Linked DNA regions of Caenorhabditis elegans. The protein of the gene in region 1 interacts with the protein of each later gene in a biochemical or structural test. Each region holds a gene or a part of one and is shown in the gene's direction. Other genes may lie near its edges. The genes, in order: stn-2, sru-39, gly-11 and C38H2.2.

Region 1 (6,633 bases):
GCGAGAGAAGAGCAATTTCGGACTTGTCACTGACGAGTAAAGCAAAAATCAATAACGTGTAAGCAAACGAGGGAGAGAGTGTCTGAATCTGGTGCTCAGCATGACACAGAGAGAGGAAAAGAGAGAAGAATTGGCAACACGAAGAGGAAGAGCATGCCAAATAAGAATGTTTAACATTTTGCATTGATTTTTTCTATTTTTAAGAAAGTTATTATAAATAAAACGAATATTTAGAAAACTTATTAGTTTTCTTTGAGTAAATTTAATTAGTTTTTTTTCTTCAAAGACCACATAACCAATTTTTCTGAAAAAGTTATGTTTAGATTTTCCAATGATAAAATACCTTGTTGACAAAATTTAAAAATAACAATTGATATCATCAACAAGGAACAGTCGATACATAGACACATTAGGGATTAGGACCGTAGACACCACGGGGACTGTACTGCGTACTATGCGCTGGAAATGACGCGCAATGGAGTGCAATAGAGACCAGCATATAACTATTTCAATGAAAATGGGAGATTACTTATTTAATAATCGGTATTTAGGTTTTATAATCTCACATTTTAAAAAATAAACTAATTTTTCCATCAAATTTTCCATATTAATAATACGTGATACACGTGTTCCTCTTCAAGTTTAAGTGGTTTTCCAAGAATAAAAATGCAAAAGGATTTCGAACATTTCCATTTCTGATAAATTAAAAAGGTGTTATGATTCACAACAAGGTTTAATAAATAACAAAATACGTGCGTACTTTGAAAACAGTTATATATATCTAATTTTTAAAATTAAAGTTCATGTATTTTGTCGTTTAATTTTTGACACTATATGAGCGGGTTTAAACAGTTTTCCTACTGAAGGTACTCCGTTTTTAATTTATATAACAAGAAGAGCTACAAAACACTTTGTGGTTTGTTTCAAGCAGAGAAAATGTGATCACACATATGTACTCAAAGAAAAAATCACAATTTTAGTCTCTCTTGATGACTCAGTTGACTAAAGGCAAAAAAGTCAGCCTCGTTTGCACAACAACGATTGTGAAATATATTCCGTTGCCTTTCTTTTTTGCCAGTTGCGGAACATTTTCATATGTGTTTGCGCCGCCGAAAATCGTCCATCATTCGAAATATGGAAAGCGAAACGATGTGTCTTTGTATCTTCAAAACGGCATTTCTCAATTGAAGCTCAATGGCTCATTGACATTCGAAGTGAAGACACAGTGTAGGGTCACGGCGCTAAAATGCGTGTTTTCCCATTGTTTTAATGGGGAAAAAGGACAATAAGAGTAGAAAACGGCAATTCGTCAAAATGATTGATTATATTCATCAATTAGTTTGCAGGAAACAACATGCAGAAATGTGGAAAAGATTTCAGTGAAAGTTTCAATTAGTTTGGAAAATCACTAACTGTTGAATATGAATAAACAAATGGAGAAAAAACAGGGATGTTAAAATTTTTATCAAAAGTCACTCCTCAAAAAGGTATTCCGTTGCGGGGAATCGAACCCCGGCCTTATGGGTGAGAGCCATAAATCCTAACCACTAGACCACAACGGAGATGGGTGAGCAATGGTCGCTGCTTAATGATAAGAGTACAGAAAACTTTGTGACTGTGAACAATGTGTAGAAAATTTTATCAGTCAGAAAGCAGCACGCGAAGAAATTGAGAAAAATGATGGTTGCCTTTCCGGCAATCTCTTTGGCAACAGTTCCAGAATTTCAGCTCTTATTTTATATCTTTTAATCAGTTTTCAGACTATGATCAAAACTTTGTTGGATGTTAAAAATATTGGATGACTCGTTTCTGATATTAAAAATTCAAACCAGCTGTTTATCATCTTGTTTCTCACTTCCTTCAACTGCTCGTTTTTGCTGTTCGTCTATGATTCCGCATCTTTTGCTGTTGTAATGTGTGTATTACACCGCTTCCGATGAGCAGATAGGATAGATTGGAGCTCGGGCGCTTCAAAGTTGACTCGTGTGAGGTGGCACACACACACGCATCTTTAGTCCCTCTAGTTCATTGTCCTTCATTTTTGCTACATTTTATATTCTCTGTTAAACAAGGCTAAATGTCCGTTACGAAATCACACCATAATCTGGATGTGGTAAGTTTAGCAAATATTATGAAATTGTTGGTTTTTAATGGGCATGTTTAATTTTTGTATAGTACATGCCAGCAATCTGAAGTCTTATGAAATACAAGACTTGACAATATGTTAAATGAAACAAATTCCAACAAAAAATTTCAGGTTCATCATGGAATAGTACTCATTAGTGATGGGAATGCCACTTCTAGATCGTCACGACTGCTTTTATCCAAAGGTAAGAGGAAATTAAAATGGAACTTGAAATAGAAATAAAATGGAACCATCAATTTTTGAATGTATGCATTTTTTCCACACTTCTCACATGGGGCCTATAAAAGCCGCACAATTTGCGAAAGCGAGAAGGGCCTGAAAAACGAGGAGAAATGGGGGAGAAAAACGAAAATAAAAGAAAAGTGTGCAATGACGGCCTCAACTAGTCGTGTGAAAACTTTATTAGGCAGCTCATGGCGCGGAAATTGGTGCCTAGCCTACAATTGAGTTGTTGAGAAAAGAGGAAAAAGCTGTCAGGGTCCCGCATCTTCGTTTTTGTCTTGCGCTTCCTTTGCGCTTTTAAAACTCCAAAAAAAATTTGGTAGAAATGACATGAAAATGGCATGAAAACTATATAAAAAGTCATCCAAAAAAAGAAATATCGTAACATATTCTTGCAGATGAGTTATGTATTCAAGTCATTGACGATGGTACCGCGGAGCCCGAAGAAGCCAAAGAAACATTTCTAGAAAATGCAACTCGGCAAGTTGTCATAGTTAAAAAACCAGACTCGGGGTTCGGATTGTCTATTAAAGTGAGCAATTGAACAGGACCGGTGTAATACTTAGAACTATTGCAGGGAGGATCAGAAAATGCACAAAACATGCCAATAGTAATCTCCAAAATATTCAAAGGATTGCCAGGTAAATCGTCAGATTTAAAATTTTAACATCTAGAAAAATACTTAAATTACAGCCGACGAATGTGGAGAGCTATTTATTGGAGATGCTATCGTAGAAGTAAATGGAATATCCATAGAAGGTGAGGGAAGAAAAAGAACGAGTAGTCTTCATTAGTCCAATCATTTGGTTCCCCTCTGGGAAATAGGAACTGAAAACGAATGAGCGTTCATAGCAAAGACCAAAAAGTTAAACTAGTTTTTTTTTAAATAATAGAAATAAAATGGAACCATCAATTTTTGAATGTATGCATTTTTTCCACACTTCTCACATGGGGCCTATAAAAGCCGCAACAAAATAACTTTTGGCAATTCACGTTCAAAAATTTAACATAAAAATTTAAAAAAAAAAAACAAAGTTGTATTGAATAATAAAACAAGTCATATGCTGTACTTTCCCTATTATACTTGCTCCTTCTCTGTTGGATGGGTTATATATGCCGTCCTAAGTTTCATAACAAATCAATTTTTTTTCAGTTGCCAATTAAAAAAAAACCAAAAAGAACTAACTAAGATATAAGCTGTCAAAATCAAGCAAGGGCATGATGGTACAAGTCTAATAGGGAAAAAAAACGGTAGACTATTTTTTCATATCAACTTCCAGGTCAAAGCCACGACGAAGTGGTTAACATGTTAAAATCAAGCGGTGACCAAGTAACTTTGGGTGTCCGCCATTTCACCCATATGACGCCGTTTCTAAAGTGAGTTTGGTTTTGTGGCGAAAAAAATTTGCTACTCAAGTCAGTCCCATGCATCGCCTTTCTTCCTATTTCCCGCTTCCTTTTTCGATTTTCGACGTGGCGTTACTTTGGCGAGAGGACACACAAAAAAAGTATGGTTGAAAAGAGTGGAAGAAAGAAGCATGAAAAAGAAGGAAAAGGACGAAGAAACATGAGTAGAAACAACTGATGGATTAGAGTGTAGAAGAGCTCTGCGCAGGGGGTGGTTTGAGGCAAAGCACGCGGAGCCTTACGCCATCCTCCCTGATGAATGCTTTTCACTGCATTTGAAATTCAAAAATGTGCGCAGTAGGCAAACTGCCGAGGGACACACAATGTTTTGCGCAGAGTATATAGTTGCATTTGATTTTATATCGGGGTACCAGAGACGTTGGAGTGACTACTTTTCAGACCAGCACAGTCATTGCAACCCGATGGAACATTGGATCAGCTGTTTGATGGAAGAAGTACAAGGGTAAGAAAAAATCCTAAGCTTCCATTTTGAAATTATTTGGAGTTTTTGCTTCAGAGCCACAAAGCGCAATCCGAATCCCGACTCTCCGACTCGAAATGGCAACAACATATTGACGGACGGGAAAAGAAATGGAAAACGTTGACGTCTCTTCCGTTGGCAATGGCTTATGTCACCAGATACCTCTGGGGAACCGACAATATCAGGTTTGCTTCAGATTTTATTTTCGTAATGAATACATACAACGGGGAGCTTTTTGTATTTCTTGTTCAACAAAACTAAAATTTTACAGGACAAACTCTTTCGAAGTTCGTGCAGTAGATGGAAGATCGTCGGGAATTGTGCATTGCGAAGATACATCGGCGCTGGAACAATGGATCTCGCACATCAGCAAACATATATTGTCGCTCAACCAAAAGAGTATAAAAATGAGCAACAAGTACTTGCATCAGAGTGAGCAGGTCAGTATGCAATGATATGACTTCAATGTTTGGTAGGCACGTTTGGTTGCCTTGAAACATCTGTTAAAAATACGACATCGGAATTAAAAATTAAATGTTTTCAGCACACATCAGATTAATGATCCAACATTACTGACTATGAAGCCGTTTTAGGTGTCCAGAGAATTATGGGTCGAATGATGTATTTTCTAAAAGCTAATACAATGGAAATTACGAATTCAGAATAAAACTTTGCTTAATCTAATTTTGAGGCAATTATTTTTGCTTTTGTCTGCTCGATTTAGGATACTTGATGGAAACATTGTTGTTTTTAAAGCCGACTATCTTGTTGAAAATTGAATATTCAAGAAAATAGTCAACTAGTAAATCTACTAACATTATGCACGGTTTTTGCAGTAAATAGTTTAAATTAATGTTTTTTAGATCAGCTACATTGGTTGGGTGAATGAATACTTGAATGATGATGATCAAGAAGAGCTTAAAATCCGCTGGCAACCTCGCTTCTTGATTTTAAAAGGCAGTGATGTCTGCTTCTTTGATGTTCCGCCGGTATGTTTTTTTTTTAATTTTTGAACTTATTTTACATGATTCTTTTTTTCCAGCTAAACTCTGAAGATCTCAACAAATGTGTCTACTTGTACAAATGTTATGATGTTGCTGTAAAACAGGTAGATTATCAAAAAAAGTAGTAATTCTAGAAGGGATATCTACAGGTCCCAAACTCTAGTCCACGAAGAGATAAGCGTGACAATTGTTTCTTAATAGAAACTCCATTGCAAGTTCCAAATCACTACCTGTCATTTGAAGCTGTATCTGCATTTGAACTTTTTGAGCAAGCATATTACCGAACCGTATACAATACCATTTCCCAAATGCAGGCAAGTTTATTTAAATTATTCAACAACAATAACAGTTAACTTTAGTCCCGAACGTTTGCCTGTAACTTTGAAGGAAGAGCCAGTGGAATCGTTTTTGACATTAAACAGGGAATTAGTCTATATGATATTCCTACTAAGGTAATACTATTTCTAACTGTTATTGATATTGATACAATTTATTTCTAGAGTTACATTTGGCAATATCGGTTCAGAGATTTACAAGCCGTTGCTGATGATGGCAAACTGTGTGTCCAGTTATCGTTCAATGATGATCGTTCATTGAATTCCGATAGAATAGAAGTAAAGGTTAGTGGTTTTGCAACTTTCCGAGTCAAGTACTCAAATTGCAGGACATCGAATGCGAAGATGTGGTAACAGTTGTATTCAACCTTCATTCCTTTGTTCTTGCCAGAATTGTTTCCACTGATCCAGACTATTTGAAGGCTAATCGTTATGTTGGAAATGCAGAGGACTAATGATTTTTGATTTTCAAAGCATAAATATTTTTTTGTTGTTGTTCAACTGTTGTTTAAAACAAAATTTGAATCATGAGTTAAAGCTAGGTTTTCAACATTTTTTTATTTCAAACTAAAAATAAAAACAATCTGCATGCCGTAGTCTACCTGTAACTTATGGACCAGTTTTGAGTCATATGCAAAAAATCAAAATTTCATTGAAAACATATGACTTTTTTCAGGTTTCTGGCACAATCAAATTGTCAATTTCAAAAATCCTTTATTTCAATAATCATAAATTCTAATTCTCAAAGAATTATATCGATAACAAGATAAAGACACGCGATGAGTCAAAATCAACCGGTTTCTGTTTGCCGTAATATTGCACTTACAACAGTACTCGAAAACTCAAACAAAGGTGAAATAACAAAGTAAAGAGTTGCCTAATTCAAAGGCTCAATCTTCTTCGTCTCATATTTCTCGAATGGAACCATTCTCACACGCAATATAATCCACGCACTAATAAGGACTACCAGCTGAAATCGTTTGGGTTTCTATTGAATTAACTGCAGCAATACTCACGTTCACAATTAGTATCAACCAT
Region 2 (3,289 bases), on another chromosome or scaffold:
ATGGTATTATCAATTATTCAATTGCGAAGTTCAAGTTCTAAACTATGAAACAATATTGAATTACCCGTGGAGTGACTTCCTCTAAAGTAGCCTTCTTGTCCTTCTTCAATTTTGCACAAAAAACGAGAAAGCTATTACATGATATTGCAAAAAGCATCGAAATAACAATTATAATGATCATTATGTTGACAGTTGAATTGTATGCTTGACCAGATGAAGAAAGTAGAAATAATTTTTCTAGTATAAATTGACCTTATCATTTTTAAACGTTGTTCTAATTAGCGGTAAACAAACTTTAGAAAAACGCGATTCAAAGTTAAAAAAAAATAGAGACCAGATGTCTACGCGAATTATTTTTTCAATCATTAAAAGAATAATTTTTTTCGTAAAATATTTACATTCCAGAAGTTCTGAGAAATTCAATTTTTGATCATTAGAATAATTAATTCGTACCACTCTTCATCAAGTTGTGAATGAAACAATATCGAAAAAGTGAAAATGCTGAATTCAAGCGGAAAGAAACCAAACTTGGGTCAGACTAAGAAGACCAAGAAGGCCACAAAAGTTCAACTGATCATTCTTTTCGTTTTGCTCAAGCATTGAAAGATGTCAGAAATATGATAGTTTATTTTGTATAATTTTTTCATGCGATTTTTCCCCATTTCTTTTGCGTCTGAAATTTTCTACTCAACTGGCATTTCCTTCAAACTAAAAATCATTTGATTCGCAGATTAGAGCAACGCACCCAAAAACTTATTTTTTGCAGACTTGTTTGTCTCTGCAGGAAAAAACATTATTTGTTGGGGCGTCGCATTAGTTTACCAATATATTTGTACCCAAATGTTTTTTAAACAAGAATAGTACTTTAGTTTAAACATGAAAATCCAGAAAAAAACTAGTTATTTGAAGGAAAAACCATTGAAATCACTTACCAAAAACCTGCGAAAGAGCGTTTTGAGCTATGTTGAAAAAATCTGAAACTTTGTTCGCCGAATTCTATTTAAAAATTTAGGTTTTTTCGAAATATAAAAATTCTAGAAAACACCTCAAACTGTTGCTAATCTTTTAGAATATCTTGCAATCGAAAATCGACAATAATTGATTCTGATGAAAAACTTTTTTTTCCGATGTTCCAAAAAAGCAAACTCTTCTGCAGTTAATTTTTGCGGTCACCAATTATTAAGGTTTTCTTTCAAATATCGAAGGCTCCAACTGGCTGTCGAATATTCAGCTGAAATACTTGCTTTGCTAGTCCATAATTTCATTTACCAGGAACAATCATTCGTCACTTGAATAAAAACGCGTAAACACTTTTAATTCTTATAAGTGAATTCAATTTCACTCATTTTCTGCTATTATCCACATTCCAGAAACAGGAGACCAGACAAGACTTCTTATTTTACACTTTTTCACATCTTTCGCATGTACTACGAATTTCCCGAAATACATGACCTTAGCACCTAAATAATCCGGTATATATGTAAGTATAAAAGATGCAAGTTTAAAAATTGATCTTTTGCCAATACACGTACTGCTCAATGAAATTTTATGAATAGCTGGCAATTAAAGCGCCTACTTTCAGTAGACATACGTCAACCACACTTTTCATTCTTCGAATAACTTCCAACATGTCTGTTTATGGACATATACCAATTGATAATAAGACTGAATATTCCAATTTTACATATTCATTCAATGTTTGGACTGTTTTCGCAGCAGTCACTTGTACATATACACTGTTTTCGTTTTGGATTACACTAAAAATGTGCATTTTTTATTTGAACAATAAAAATAACGAAGAAGTGAAAAGAGGACTTCGTCTTGATGTTTTTCGATTGTTTCTTTTGATGCAAGTATGGAAAGAATTTCATGTTTTGATGGATTTTCTGATAGTTCGAATTCCACTTACATCATTATTTACCAGTTATTGCTATCAATCGAAGCCAGTTCTACTTTTAAAAATATTATCATTGATGTTCACAGGAGTTGTATATACATCTCATTCATTAACTCTTGCGTTTTGCATTCAGAGAGTTGCATTATTATATGCTCATGAATATCACAAAGATGTATGTCAACTCATGAACCTCTAGTGTTAATTCATTTCATTTTCAGAAAATTGCAAAAATATTTGATATTGTCAACCCTCTCATTATATTTGTTGGGCATGGTTTTGGAATACCGTTCTTTTTTGCATCAAGCTCTTGTTATCAAATGGACGAACCATTTCCATTTGGAGCAATTGTAATCACAGCTCTACGCCGGGATATGGTGGTTCATAGAAAATCCAAAAGTTAATCGTAATGCAAGTATTTTTTCAGAAAACTTACACTATTATTTACTCAATTTTTTCTAATACAAATATAACACTGACGATTATATTGACAATCATGATGTTTGTAAAGCTGTATCATAAACGGAAGATGTAAGTTAAAATTCCTTATAATAAATTTTACACAAAACTTTTCCAGAACTTCCGAGTTGCGCCGACCAGTAGATTTAAAATCAGAAAAAGTATTAACAGCTACAATGATTCTAATTCTTCTCCCTGTTGTGGTTCCATCAATTCTGTCAATTGCAAATCTTTTTTCTTCAAATTTATATGCTTATATGTTTCTCCTGCGTTGCATTGCATTGGATGTCCGAGCTCATATTGTTTCTTGTTATTTCTATTATACGCATTACATTTTTAAAAAGAAAAACCGTAGTACTAAAATTCGAAACGACAGCACTATTCGAACAGTGTCAACATATTTTTAATGTGTAATAAATTATTTTGAATTTGTCTTTTTTCGGATGAAAAAATATTTTTTTTGGGTTCAAAAATTTCAAAGCACAAGTTTTTAATGTGATAATAATTTTCTGGATACTAGTTTTTATAGTGCATTCATATCACAAAAAGTGAAGTGAAAAAGTTAAAAACGTTGTCCAATTTTTTTCTTTAAGTTTTCGGGGAAACGTTTCAAAACTTTACTTCATGGAACGCATTGCTTGCTAAGCAATTTACCGCAATTCGTGTAATATATATTGTTCAATGAACACCATTAAAGGAAAATAAATTTTCATGAAAACTCGCAGGATAGTCAGAAAGTCTTGCCTTTTGGCTGCAAAAGGTAGAGTGAGCATTCAGGATCTCCTGGAATACATGGTTTTTCATCTAACAAATTTTTGAAAATTCAAAGAAACAATTATAACCAAACGTGACTATTTGAAAATCAAAGTTAAGTAAAATCAAAGTCGAGAGTCACTAGACTGCTTGCTTTGAACATTTATTCATTATCAATTTTAA
Region 3 (7,876 bases), on another chromosome or scaffold:
TCCGTCGTAAAAACGAAGCCTTTGTGCGGTAATCGAATCACAAAATATTGCGATCAACGACGAAATGCTTCAACTGGTTCATTTTTCAAAATTTTTCTTTGAAATATTTTTATTTAAAAAAGTCGTCTTTCACTTATATGAGTCAATTGTCAGTTTACTGGATAAATTTACTAGTTTCAAATTTTTGAAAAATATTTACATTTTTATTTACAAAAAAGGCTTGTTTTGCCTAAAGGTGAAGTGGTGCCAAAACGCTAAAAAAAATTTATTATTTACTCTCAAAAAGTTACAATCACTCAGATTTTGTCACTATAATTTTTTTTGGAAGTCGACCAAAAAAATTACCTACATTTTTATACTCTACTTTTGTTTCAATTATTCGTATTAAAACATTGCAAAATTTCTTTGAATTTCCTCAAAATCTCATATTCTTCAAAATTTTGGTAGTTTGCCAAAACTTTGACCGGAAATTATGAAAAATCTATATGTTTCAAAGTTTTTTATTATGATATTCGGTCCTTTTGGATCATAATGCATTATCCACATATCGCGCATTAGATGCACAGAAATTCAAGTTCAAAGATTGAGAGATCATAGACATCTAGAGTACTCTGCCACTCTGCGTCTCTCCTCTCTCCGCCAGTTCAAATACCACTTTGCGCTTTCACTTTTTTTCGGAGTAAAACCTCAATCGGTTAATAAAGTAAACAAAATCCTCATCCCCCCATCGCTCTTTCTGTGTCCACTTGGGGGGTTCCTCCTCTTGTGTCCATCGGATTGTACATCGAGAGATCTGTCGGTATGTCTGCGTCTTCTCAATTTGTTTGATCTCTAATGTTCCTGTGTTCAGCTGTGTCATCAATCGTCCTTCTTTCCGCACTATTCCGTCCCGCTGCTTCCCACATACCTACCCCCCACTTCTCGAATATGTCCTAAAAGTTTTCCTTTTCACTTTTGTTTTAGAGATTTTTTTTGGGAAACAGTTTAGGGTAAATTTGAAAATTTTAGGCCAAAACTTAAGTTTGCAAAAAAAAAAGCAATTTCGGAAAAAAAAAATTTGAAAAAAAAATATTACTCTGGCGTAAAATTCTGCAAGTTTGCCCTAAAACCCAGGTCTCGGCAAGATAATTTTTGTGAAATTGCACGGGGTTCTGGATTTCCCTTCCATTGAATTTTTCGCGCTCCATTGATAATCACCCGCCGGACAACGCGTGGGAAAGTCGTGTACTCCACACGGACAAGTGCATTTAGTTTTACAATCGAGCCGCGACGCGACACGCAACGCGCCGTAAATCTACCCCAGATATGACCTGGCCTAGTTCGGCAAACTCTTCCATTTCAATTTTTGAGGGAAGCCAGAAATCGGCGAGATTTCAAAAAAAAAAAATATTTCCCAGACACAAAATTGAGGGATTTTGCCCCAAACCCAGGTCCCGACACAACAATTTTTTTCTAAATGCAAAAAGGTGTGCACCTTTAAAGAATACTGTAATTTCAAAATTTTCGGAATTTTCGTGGTTTTTTTCCATATTTTTTCTTGAACAAATATACACGAATTTCTGGCTTCCCTCATAAATTGAAATGGGAGAGTTTGCCGAATTAGGCCATTTTGGCTCGGCCATATCTGGGGTAGATTTACGGCGCGTTGCGTGTCGCGTCGCGGCTCGATTGTAAAACTAAATGTATTTGTCCGTGTGGAGTACACGAATTTTCCACGCGTTGTCAGGTAGACGATTGTCAATGGAGCGCAAAAAATTCAATGAGGAAGGCCAGAGCCCCGTGATTCTTTGATTTTTTTTATTTCAAAATTAATTACAAATTTCCAATTTTTAAATATTTTAGGAATGCTCCTACTTTGGAGGCGAAAAACAGTCGGATTAATATGCCTTTTTTCAATTCTTCTCACTATATATCTCTACGTCTCAATGTATCCAGAAGATAACGAGAGAGTATGGAATAGTGGAAACGCAGATATTCAGAGAAAACATGAAAAACTAAATAATGGAGGACAGGGACGACACGATTTTGATGATGATGAGGGCGCGGAAAAGGATGAAGAGGATGCGGTCGAGAAACAGGTATCTGAATGCTTTTAAGGGTATAAAGGGCTTCCATCATAAGTAGATTCAAGGCCTGGCGCCTGCCTGAAATCTGCCCGTCGCATGCCTGCATTTTGATGTGAATAACTTTCAAATTTCAAAAGTTCTCATTTCTCATTTCTTTCAATTTGTTGAAAATCAGATTAACAGCTTTTGGCCCGTATTGAGGCGAGAGGCAGGCAGGCATTGTAATACCTACTTTTGAATTTTCAATGTTCAAATTATTCCAGAACATCGCCGCTCCACCACTTCCAAAATCATTCACAACATTCCCGGATCGTTCAAAAGAAATTGAGATTGACACAGATTTGCTGGGGAAAATAAATGGAAAAGCCGAAGATGATCTACAAGTTGAAGGTTATAAAAAGTATCAGTTTAACGGATTACTAAGTGATCGAATTGGATCAAGAAGGAAGATCAAGGACTCTAGAAATGCCAGATGCTCTTCTCTAACATATTCCGACAGCTTACCAGCTGCCTCCATAGTTGTTTGTTATTTCAATGAATCACCTTCCGTGCTAATCCGAATGGTGAATTCAATTTTCGATCGTACAAAACCAGAACATCTCCATGAAATTCTACTTGTGGATGATTCAAGTGAATGGTCGAATGCAACTGATGAAGCTATCAAGTACAGAGAAAAACATATTATTCAATGGGAAAAAGTAAAGTTTTTGAAGACTGACAAGAATGAGGGATTGATTAGAGCAAAGATTTTTGGAGCAAGAAGGGCTAATGGAGAAGTTTTGGTAAGTTACTATTCTCTAATGTGAAGAGTAGGGCGATAGGCAGGCGCGGTTTCAAGGCATGCCTGAAGCCTGCCTGAAACTTTTTTCTACTATTCAAATTGAGTTTTCAAAATTCAAATTTAAGATTAAAAAATAGTTCACGTACGTATTAGCATGAAGCGTGTACTGAGGAAGGCGGAGGTCGCCTTAAAGTCAGACAGGTAGGCATTTTAACGCCTACATGGAGCCCTAGTAAAAAACAACGCTTTTCAAAGGAGCATAGATGTTTTAAAGCGTGTGGTGTCTTGAAAATTAGGCTTAGGTTTCGGCTTAGGCTTAGGCTTAGGCTTAGACAATGCTCTGGGGGGGGGGGGGGGGGAATTTCCAGAAAAAAGGAAAACCCCACAAAGATGAGAACAAATGTGGCATTCCGAAGTTGGGTAAAAAATCTCATGAAAACGACCAAAAAAAGACCAAAAAAAATATAAAAGTTGAAAAAAATTGTGAAAAAAACAAAATTTTTGTAGTTTTTGAAATCACATGAATTACCCACGTGGTTTCCACGTGGTTCCAGGCTGTCCCATTACGATTTGATCTACAAAAACTGCGGGAGTTTTTTGCGTAAAAAATGTGACGTCAGCAAGTTTTCAACCATACGAAATTAGGTTGAGAACTCTGCATCTCTTCTCCCGCCTTTTTTGTAGATCAACGAGACTTTTGGGTCGGGGTCGCGGCCCCGACCCACTTTTGGGTCGGGGTCATGTCCCCGACCCATTTTTCAAAATTTAACAGAAAATTATCAAAAACTTGAAAAATTATTTTTTGTCAAAAAACACGTGTAAAAGCTGAAAATTATAAAATTATCGTATTTTCATCAATAAAAAAAAACATACCCTACTTTCGATACAAACAAGCATAAGAGTCAACGTTTAAAAACACGATTTACAACAAAAAAACATGTTTTTTCAATTTCAGACATTTTCCGAAAATGGTTCGGGGCCGCGACCCCGACCCATTCAACAGGCCTAACCACGTGCATTATCAGTAGTCACGTAGTGTCAGAGAGTGTCTCATTTCGGCTAGATCTACATAGATCTACAAAAAATGCGGCAGAGTTCTCAACTGATTTCGTATGATTAAAACGAGCTGACGTCACGTATTTTTGGGCGAAAAATTCGCGCATTTTTTAGAGATCAAACGACAGCCTAGCACCTCGTGAGTAGTGCAAAAACCCTATTGAGTAAAAATTAAAGTAGGTATAGTTTTTACCAATTAAATTGTTTTCCACGTATAATTTTTATTTTCTCTAAACATTAAAAAATATATTTTTTCAGGTATTCCTGGATAGTCACTGTGAAGTAAACGAAGAATGGCTTCCACCACTTCTCGATCAAATCAAACAGAATCGCCGTCGTGTCGTATGCCCAATCATTGATATAATCGATGCAATCACTATGAAATACGTGGAATCTCCTGTTTGCACAGGCGGTGTCAATTGGGCAATGACATTCAAATGGGATTACCCCCATCGATCCTACTTTGAGGATCCGATGAATTATGTGAACCCGTTGAAATCGCCTACAATGGCTGGTGGTCTTTTTGCGATTGATAAAGAATATTTCTTTGAAATTGGAAGTTATGATGAGGGAATGGATGTTTGGGGAGCTGAAAATGTGGAAATTAGTGTTAGGGTAGGTTTCAAAGGGCTAACCCGAATAGTTTAAAGTATAAAATTGCCCTACAGGCCTCTAAAATTTTGTAAAATTAAAAAACCAATTTTTTACAAGGATTTCGTTCAAAATATTTACGCCAAACAGGTTGGCACTTAATTTTCAAAAAAAAATTCTAGTCAAAAATTGCCGGTTTATCGAATTTGCCGGAACATTTTATTTTCGGTAAATTGCCGATTTGCCGAAAATTTTTATTTTTTGTAAATTGCCGGTTTGCCGAATTTGGCAGAAATATTCAATTCCGGCAACTTGCCAATTTGCCGGAACTTTTAATTTTTGGCAAATTGTCGGTTTGCCGAGCTTGTCGGAAATGTTCAATTTCGGCAATTTGCCAATTTGCCGGAACTTTTCATTTTTGGCAAATTGCCGGTTTGCCGAATTTGCCGGATATGTTCAATTCCGGCAATTTACCAATTTGCCGGAACTTTTCATCTTTGGCAAATTTACGGTTTGCCGAATTGGCCGGTAATGTTCAATTCCTGCAATTTGCCGATTTGCCTAATCGGTCGGAAATTCTCAATTTCGGCAATTTGTCAATTTGCCGGAACCTCTCATTTGTGGCAAATTGCCTACTTTGCCGGAATACATATACTAAATTTCAGATATGGACCTGCGGTGGAGAACTTCTGATTATGCCGTGCAGCCGAGTTGGCCACATTTTCCGGTAAGTTTGTTTTCAATTTGCTGGCTTGAATTTGAAAGGTTTTTGATTTTGAAAAAAAAAAACTAAATTCCAGCCGCCAACGCCCATACGGAATAAAAACGGATTCAATGGGAAAAAATTCAGTCCGGCTGGCAAGAGTATGGCTTGATGAATATCTTGAAAATTTCTTCGAAGCTCGTCCAAACTACCGTACATTCACCGACTACGGTGATCTTACATCGAGAATCAGTCTACGTAGGAATTTGCAGTGTAAACCGTTCAAATGGTATTTGGAAAATATCTATCCTGAACTATTACCGGATAACACACCAAATCAGCTGAATAACCAAATACTTGTCGCTGGAAAGAAATATTTGATTAAAATGGCAAATGGAACACATTGTTTGAGCGCTGAAAACTCGCAGGGAAGGATTGCAAATGGGAATCGGGTGGAAATGAGAAAATGTAATCATATGGAGAGAATGCAACAATGGAAATACTCATCGACGGTTCGATTTTGTGTGCAAAAAATGTACAGAAAATGTGCATACAATGTGCAAAAAATGTGAAAAAATGTGCAAAAAATGTGCAAAAAATGTGCAAAAAATGTACAGAAAATGTGCATACAATGTGCAAAAAATGTGCAAAAAATGTGCAAAAAATGTACAGAAAATGTGCATACAATGTGCAAAAAATGTGCAAAAAATGTGCAAAAAATGTGAAAAAATGTGCAAAAAATGTGCAAAAAATGTGCAAAAAATGTGCAAAAAATGTGCAAAAAATGTACAGAAAATGTGCAAAAAATGTGCAAAAAATGTGCAAAAAATGTGCAAAAAATGTGCAAAAAATGTGCAAAAAATGTGCAAAAAATGTACAGAAAATGTGCAAAAAATGTGCAAAAAATTTGAAAAAATGTGCAAAAAATGTGCAAAAAATGTGCAAAAAATGTGCAAAAAATGTACAGAAAATGTGCAAAAAATGTACAGAAAATGTGCAAAAAATGTGCAAAAAATGTGCAAAAAATGTGCAAAAAATGTGCAAAAAATGTGCAAAAAATGTGCAAAAAATGTGCAAAAAATGTACAGAAAATGTGCAAAAAATGTGCAAAAAATGTGCAAAAAATGTGCAAAAAATGTGCAAAAAATGTGCAAAAAATGTACAGAAAATGTGCAAAAAATGTGCAAAAAATTTGAAAAAATGTGCAAAAAATGTGCAAAAAATGTACAGAAAATGTGCATACAATGTGCAAAAAATGTGCAAAAAATGTGCAAAAAATGTGCAAAAAATGTGCAAAAAATGTGCAAAAAAATGTGCAAAAAATGTGAAAAAATGTGCAAAAAATGTGCAAAAAATGTGCAAAAAATGTACAGAAAATGTGCATACAATGTGCAAAAAATGTGCAAAAAATGTGCAAAAACTGTTAATTTTTTGTACAGTTTATCCAAAATTTTTGACGTTTTTAATTTGTGGTTTTTTAGAAAATTAAAACTATTTTGGATTGTTTGAATCAAAATCCTCCCTATTTTGAATACCTCCTGATTTTAAAAATTATTTTCAGAATGAGCTACGACCGATGGGCTCATCCCGAATGTGCCTAGATTCCTTACGAGGGATTAGTGTCATTTTGTGTCATAATCAAGGAGCACATCAAATGTGGCAAGTTTCGGTAAGTCAAACTACATATTACGGTAACACAATTTTTTTTTCTGAGAATGCGTACTGCACAACATATTTGACGCGCCGCAAAATATGAAATATCTCGTAGCGAAAACTTAATGACTACTGTAGCGCTTGTGTCGATTTTTGAAATAAAGTTCGTTTTTATCAATTTTGATATTCTATCGATAAATAAATAATGTTAATTCATTTAAAAAATCGAGATCCCGTAAATCGACACTACAGTAGTCATTCAAAGGGTTACTGTAGTTTTCTTTTCGCTACGAGATATTATGCGCGTCAAATATGTTGTGCAGTACGCATTCTCGGAATTTTGTGTTCCTGTAATATGCAAATAATTTTCTTTGAAAAAAATGTTTTTGATATAATTTTTTTAACCAAAATTTAAACTTTTCTGAATCTTGAAAAAAAATTTTTGCATATTTTTTTAGCGTTATCAAATAACTAATAGTGAAAAAAATCAGAAAATTTTAAAAAAATTCATTAAAAATTTTTTAAAATTTTAAACTGTTCCCATATTGATAAGGCATCATAAAACAGCAATATTAACTCAAAAATTGGAAAAAAATTAAATTTAATTTTTTTCCAGAACGCCGGAAAGCTCTACAGTAGATCAGTGAATAAATGTGCAACTGGATCCAATGACGTCAGTGCGCTGAGCACTTTAAAATTCTGCTCTCTTGCGAATAGCTTCCAATTCGTTGAGCTATAAGTATTGATATTTTATTTTTGAAAAAAAAAAATTTTCTCAAAATTTTTTTTCTATGGGTACTTTTCTCTCCCTGAAACTCTAAAACTGGTCCAAAATTGCCTTTCCCTTCCCAAATCTTGTGATAATTTTAATAAATTTTTTTGCGTTTTTGTGAAAAATTCATTCTATAATTACAGACAAGAAGACGGTTACCGAAAAAAAAATTGGGAAAAATCGATTAAAAAGGAGATGAATGAGCAAGAGGGGAGAAAAATACAACAGAAAAAAAAAAATTGAAAATGACGAAA
Region 4 (5,664 bases), on another chromosome or scaffold:
AGTACAACAATTTTTGAAGTAATGATCTAGCAGGTAAACTTGTGACAAAATTAAAAAGCGAATTTTTTGGCTAGTTTTAAATTTTTACCAAATTTTGGCATTTTTCAAAATATTTACTGATTTCCAAAAGATTATTTATTAATTTGAAAATATCCATTTAACTTGTTTCTTTCAGTAATGGGGGTTACCAAAACCTGCAATTTCACGAAAAATCATAAGTTTAATTTTTACTTACCACAAAATTTTCAGCATTTAGGAACATGTTCGATTTGAAGCTTCCAATTTTAATTATAGAAAAACCAAAGGTAGTTGTTATTCTAGTTTTAATTCTCAAAATTTTGAAGACCAAGGTTTCAGTATACTTTTTTTTTAATTCTTATACTAAATTTCAGGAAATTTTTTTTTGCAGAAAAAAAAAGGAAAAAACATCTTGAGCACAAATATTTTAAATCTTTTGCCAACTCCCAAGCATTTTCACAATACTAATTTTTCATTGCCTGTTCTCCTCCTCATTTTCTTCTTCCTTCTTCTATTCCTACTCCAACACACTACGCTTCTCCTCCTCCAAATGTCTGTGATCTCTCTCATTCCACACACTATCTCGCATATTTGAATTCTTCTCATTGCCACAAGGCTCTCGTTTTCCCTTTTTCACTCTCTCTCTATCTCTCTTCGAATTTCCATATTTTCGGTACAAAACCTCTTTTCATGCTTGTGTTCCCACTTATTCAAATATTGTCGGTACGATACAGTACTGCAATCTACGTGACTCTGAAAAAGTTTTGATTTTGTTTTTTGCTTTTCTATTTTGGTTTTCTATGATCTTCTTATCAAAAAATAATCTTAAGTGACAGCATATTGTTCGAATTATTGCCTATATTTTAGAAGTTTAAAATATATTAATTTATTCAAAAACAAACCAAGATGTAAGCTTACAAAATAAGGGGGCAAAACATGGTGCATCGACTGAGATTGCTTCACGTATCTTTGTCTCGATGGTTTTTGGATTTTTTTCTCGAACACCTGTAAACTGATAAAATCTTCATTTTATGTTTTTTTCAATAGTTTTGTAGTTGAACTTATTTTTATATCTTTGAAAAATTAATATATAAGGTTCAAAGTTAACGTAGAAAAAAAAGCTACTTATCAAATTATTTGCACAATTTGAAAATTATAGAAATTCTATAAAATCGTGATTAAAATGAGAAGAATATTTGTTCACAGTTCAAAATTTTCAGCGAAACATTTTTGAAATATTTTGAAAACTATTGAATATTTTTTCCCTTTATTAGGGCTTTTTATAGCATAAAAATTGTATTTTTAAAGGCAACGCTCATTAAAATTTTTGAAGAGTCGAGAATATAGTTTTAATTTTTTTTTTTGAAAAGCTGGATTTTGAGATAATTTTTGAACTGAACTTTAAAAAAGCACCAAAAAATATGCTTATTTTAGTGAATTTTTCCCGTAGTAACCCCTACCCCCCCCCCCCCCTCCCCTTTAATTATTTTTCCTGTATCTGACGTGAATCTGCTCATTTTTCTAAACCTTCATAATAATTTTTGAAATAAATTCATTACTACAGATGTGCTGTTGATATGGCAAACTGGCCACGTGTTTCTCCTCTCGCCTACGTGGCGCTTGGCGTTCTTCTCGGTTTGACCATTTCAATAATATCTCAGACGGGAACGGTAGGTGCTTTGTTTTTTTTATGGGTTTTGTCTTACTTTAAAAAATACTATTTTTGAAAAATTTTCGAGCGAGACGTGCTAGCGTTCTACAATTTTCTGAGGAAATCAAATTTTCAGACAACCTACGACGCTGCCTCACGGATAGCCATACTACGAGCCAACCGAGGGGATCCACAAGTTGACGAGCACGATCATGCACATGGAAATGATCCGGTAAGGATTTTAAAATATAACTTGGAGTAGTCCATTCTACAAGTGCTACGCACTGCGAATCTGGGAGTCAGGTGCACTTCCTGGTGGTGCTCTCAGAGAGCTTTAGTTTAAGTCACGTTCGAGTCTGGGACTGTGGCCGATAATAAAATAAAAAATTCAGCTCGGAATTAGACTATAAAAAATATATCAGAAAGTTAATTGTGAACTACCGACAACCAACACCAAAACACAAATCCCAACTTTCAGCACGGAGACGAAGAAGTCGACGATCATCACGCGAACTTTGCGCCCGTCCAATTCCATTCCAACAACTCATCGCATAGCCATGATGGTGAAAGTCTGATAGCCGACGAAGTTGCGAAGAAGGTTCGCGTCTTCTGTTGGATTCTCACCGGAAAACAGAATCACGATAAACGCGCGAAACACGTCAAAGCCACCTGGGCCAAGCGGTGTAATAAGTAGGTTTTTTCAAAAAAATGATCGGTTGTTCACCGCGAAAACTGTTTTAGAAAATACAAATTGTCCACCTAAAGTATATATATATATATATATAAAATATATATATATATATATACATATATATATATATATATATATATTTATTCATTTATTTATTTACAATTTAATGAACTATGGTTCAAAAAATATTGAATGTGAACAAAAATGATTGGTTTTTAAGTGAAAATGGCAATTTTGGCAGAAAACATTGGTTTTAAATGGAATTTTTTATTGGAAATTATTGATTCTGTTAATATAAAAGTTATATATATTTTTTTTAGGAAAATATTGATTTGTTTTCAGGTACGTATTCATGTCATCAGAAGAGGATGCAGAACTCCCAGCCATCAACCTAAATGTCTCTGAAGGCAGAGATTACTTGTGGGCAAAAACAAAAGGAGCATTCAAATACATTTATGACCATCACCTGAACGACTACGACTGGTTCCTGAAAGCCGACGACGATACCTATGTGGTGATGGAAAATCTCCGGTTCATGCTATTGGCTCATTCACCGGATGAGCCAATTCACTTTGGATGCAAGTTTAAGCCATTCACACAGGGAGGATATCATAGTGGTGGAGCTGGATATGTGCTCAGTCGGGAGGCACTGAAAAAGTAGGATTTCTTCATTTGATTGTTGTCTAACGAGTATTGGTAATTTCAGATTCATTGAAGTAGCGCTGCCGGACAAATCGTTGTGCTCTCAGAATCATGGTGGAGCCGAGGATGCGGAGATGGGCAAATGCTTGGAGAAGGTTGGAGTGAAAGCTGGAGATTCCAGAGATGCCGATGGACATCATAGGTTAGTTGTGATATCTGGAAAATTTGGAATTTTATGTGCAAAAGTGATCTACTTTGATGGTTTATAACAAAATTGACTGAGGTATTACTGGACGATGCACTATGTGTTTCTCGTTTGCATTTTTCACTTGACATTTGCCAATTAAAATTTTTGGCGTTTCCAGTCGATGCACCATGTTTGCACTGTTCTTTTTGGCAGCTCCAATCTCAGTTTTCTTTAAGGATAATCATAAATTTCAAATTACAAAACTGTAAAACGATAACTAGTGAAAATTTGATCAGCTGCCAGCTGTTTGATAACATTAAAAATGTGTACTCCACGTGGAAAAGTACAAATTGTTTTTGGAATCGTCTATCAGCAGAGCGTGTTTTCTGACTTTTTTTCTGAATTTGGGTGAAATCTAACAGGAAAACGTAGTCAAAATTACTACAAAATGAAATTTAATTTGAAGTTTTTTTCGACTAATTTCATAAAATTTTTTAAACTTAAAAGTTTAAGCATAAATCTGCAGGGGGAGAGAGAGAGAGGACACCAAAAACATTTTTTGATGAAGCTTGTTCATTAAAAAGCTCTTTTATGAGTTGAGCAACTGGGTTTTCTCTTCCCGCGAACACGAAGTAATTTTCAGATTCATGCCTTTCGTGCCGGAACATCACTTGTCGCCTGGCCACGTTGACCCCAAGTTCTGGTTCTGGCAGTACACTTACTACCCAATGGATCAAGGACCTACGTGTTGCTCTGGTTAGTTGCACTTTTTTTCGAGATTTTCTTTGGTGCTGATCTTCCTACACTGAACCACCGTGCAAACAATGCCCTTCCCGAAAGATTGAAAAAACTTTTTTGAAGAGATCAATTGTTTTCTGCATGCAATGCTATTTGCTCAATAATCTTCCATTATTGTTTCCAGATTACGCAGTCTCCTTCCACTACGTCAACCCGAACTTGATGTATGTGCTCGAGTATCTCATCTATCACTTGAAGCCTTTCGGTGAGTGAAATTGGGGACTCAGTGGCCGAGAAATGCAAAACTCGGCCACGGCCACGCAGGGAAAATTGAAACATTTTAGAACACAGAAAAATAGTTATAAAAAAATTTTAGAACACAGGAAAATAATTATTTTTTAGTAAGAATCTTTTTTTTTTTGATTGAAAAATATTTTGACTCGAATTTTTAATAAAATTTTACAAAATTCGGAAAGAGCTACAATTCCACATTTTAGCCTATACAATTTTTCAATTATTCAGGTATCGATCGCGCGATTCGAGTGCCAAAGAACGAAACAATAATCCATACGGCTTATTCGATCTCTCGATCCGAACGTGGACAAGACGATGCGTTCCGGGATCGGCCGGAAGTTGCTGTATAAGCAAATTGTTGTTTTTCTTGCAGTCTATGTTGTTAGATATCATTTACCGACTTTTTTGTCCAATACCCGGGTGATTTTCTTCCATTTTTTATTTGTTTTTGTTCCAACTGCTTCGCTTGGGCTTCTCTCTTTCCTTCTCTCTCTACGTCAATACATTCCATGACTGTTCTCCACCCTAATTGCCGCCTCTTCTGCATTTCTTTCCTCTTTCTCAAGTCATTTGAATTACGGTAGACATTGCGCGTCAAATCTGATGTATTGGAAATAATTTTCGATGTTTATCAATTGATCAATATATTTGAAAGCCGTCCTGTCTACCAAGGTTCGACTCCCAAAGTGTTTAGTGAATTGTTTTTTGGATATTTTAGTTTAAAATTTCTGCTTACGGGAATCATCAGAGTTTTACATGTAAATGTGGTTTTTTTAATTCAATTTGAAAGACGATCGGCCGATCACACCCTGTGCCTTTTCCAATGTTTTGTTTGTTTTTTCTAGTCAATCTTGTTCATTTCTCTCTGTGTGTGGAATTTTTTCTTTTGAAGAAAATTTATAAAAATAAATTGGCTTTATTATTAACAAACATTGTGCACATGTGCAAGAAAAAAGAGTGAAACTACAGATTTTGATTGAGCAAAACGAATATTTACACCGTATGTGGAGGGGGGTTTCAGACGAGAGAAAATTATGTGACTGGAGATAAAAGTAAGGTAAAGCTTACAAATGCACTCTATTGCTAGAAAAAAGTTGTGGTCTCAGCGGGTATCAAAAAATTGCCAATTAACAAAACATTAATAATATTATTTTCAATTATCTTTCAAACAGACTACACAGGTTAACGTTAGCGATAGAGCGCGTTTACACCATATTAGGCGAATGTGACAAGAAGGAGCATAAAAACGACAGCCGTGAAAACTAAGAGGGCTGCTATAATTGCAACCATCAAAGAACGACGATGGGTTTCTGGCATTGAACGGACCGCTGTCGGGAGTACTGTAATTGGTGACGCGTCGTCTTTTGGAGGGCTGAAAATTGGAAATTTTATTTTTCAAAAAAAATCGAAAGTTTGTACTATACTAGGTCTTTTGAAATGAAC

What was found.
Region 2: the proteins of stn-2 (region 1) and sru-39 form a complex in vitro, tested with the Caenorhabditis elegans proteins (one study listed by BioGRID).
Region 3: the proteins of stn-2 (region 1) and gly-11 form a complex in vitro, tested with the Caenorhabditis elegans proteins (one study listed by BioGRID).
Region 4: the proteins of stn-2 (region 1) and C38H2.2 form a complex in vitro, tested with the Caenorhabditis elegans proteins (one study listed by BioGRID).

What each region holds. Positions count from the first base shown.
Region 1 is NC_003284.9:7,675,969-7,682,601, reverse strand, and holds stn-2 (PDZ domain-containing protein), read left to right. Parts: upstream 1-1,982; 5' UTR 1,983-2,077; coding exon 2,078-2,113; intron 2,114-2,257; coding exon 2,258-2,330; intron 2,331-2,766; coding exon 2,767-2,900; intron 2,901-2,945; coding exon 2,946-3,009; intron 3,010-3,061; coding exon 3,062-3,127; intron 3,128-3,648; coding exon 3,649-3,745; intron 3,746-4,174; coding exon 4,175-4,238; intron 4,239-4,292; coding exon 4,293-4,441; intron 4,442-4,527; coding exon 4,528-4,696; intron 4,697-5,119; coding exon 5,120-5,245; intron 5,246-5,298; coding exon 5,299-5,364; intron 5,365-5,409; coding exon 5,410-5,574; intron 5,575-5,619; coding exon 5,620-5,712; intron 5,713-5,760; coding exon 5,761-5,880; intron 5,881-5,924; coding exon 5,925-6,050; 3' UTR 6,051-6,091; downstream 6,092-6,633. Other genes in the region: mfsd-8.5 (Major facilitator superfamily (MFS) profile domain-containing protein), read right to left, coding at 6,473-6,565, 6,612-6,633.
Region 2 is NC_003283.11:9,801,848-9,805,136, forward strand, and holds sru-39 (Serpentine Receptor, class T), read left to right. Parts: upstream 1-1,628; coding exon 1,629-2,069; intron 2,070-2,115; coding exon 2,116-2,274; intron 2,275-2,321; coding exon 2,322-2,425; intron 2,426-2,471; coding exon 2,472-2,760; downstream 2,761-3,289. Other genes in the region: F46B6.10 (uncharacterized protein), read right to left, coding at 65-181.
Region 3 is NC_003281.10:12,171,212-12,179,087, reverse strand, and holds gly-11 (Putative polypeptide N-acetylgalactosaminyltransferase 11), read left to right. Parts: upstream 1-1,842; 5' UTR 1,843-1,844; coding exon 1,845-2,078; intron 2,079-2,329; coding exon 2,330-2,848; intron 2,849-4,161; coding exon 4,162-4,518; intron 4,519-5,159; coding exon 5,160-5,221; intron 5,222-5,294; coding exon 5,295-5,709; intron 5,710-6,758; coding exon 6,759-6,866; intron 6,867-7,466; coding exon 7,467-7,589; 3' UTR 7,590-7,734; downstream 7,735-7,876. UniProt on the Caenorhabditis elegans protein: May catalyze the initial reaction in O-linked oligosaccharide biosynthesis, the transfer of an N-acetyl-D-galactosamine residue to a serine or threonine residue on the protein receptor.
Region 4 is NC_003281.10:10,380,191-10,385,854, forward strand, and holds C38H2.2 (Glycoprotein-N-acetylgalactosamine 3-beta-galactosyltransferase 1), read left to right. Parts: upstream 1-1,582; 5' UTR 1,583-1,595; coding exon 1,596-1,688; intron 1,689-1,805; coding exon 1,806-1,901; intron 1,902-2,147; coding exon 2,148-2,359; intron 2,360-2,702; coding exon 2,703-3,017; intron 3,018-3,066; coding exon 3,067-3,204; intron 3,205-3,832; coding exon 3,833-3,945; intron 3,946-4,111; coding exon 4,112-4,192; intron 4,193-4,449; coding exon 4,450-4,571; 3' UTR 4,572-5,143; downstream 5,144-5,664. Other genes in the region: C38H2.3 (Wsv136), read right to left, coding at 5,437-5,593. UniProt on the Caenorhabditis elegans protein: Glycosyltransferase that generates the core 1 O-glycan Gal-beta1-3GalNAc-alpha1-Ser/Thr (T antigen), which is a precursor for many extended O-glycans in glycoproteins.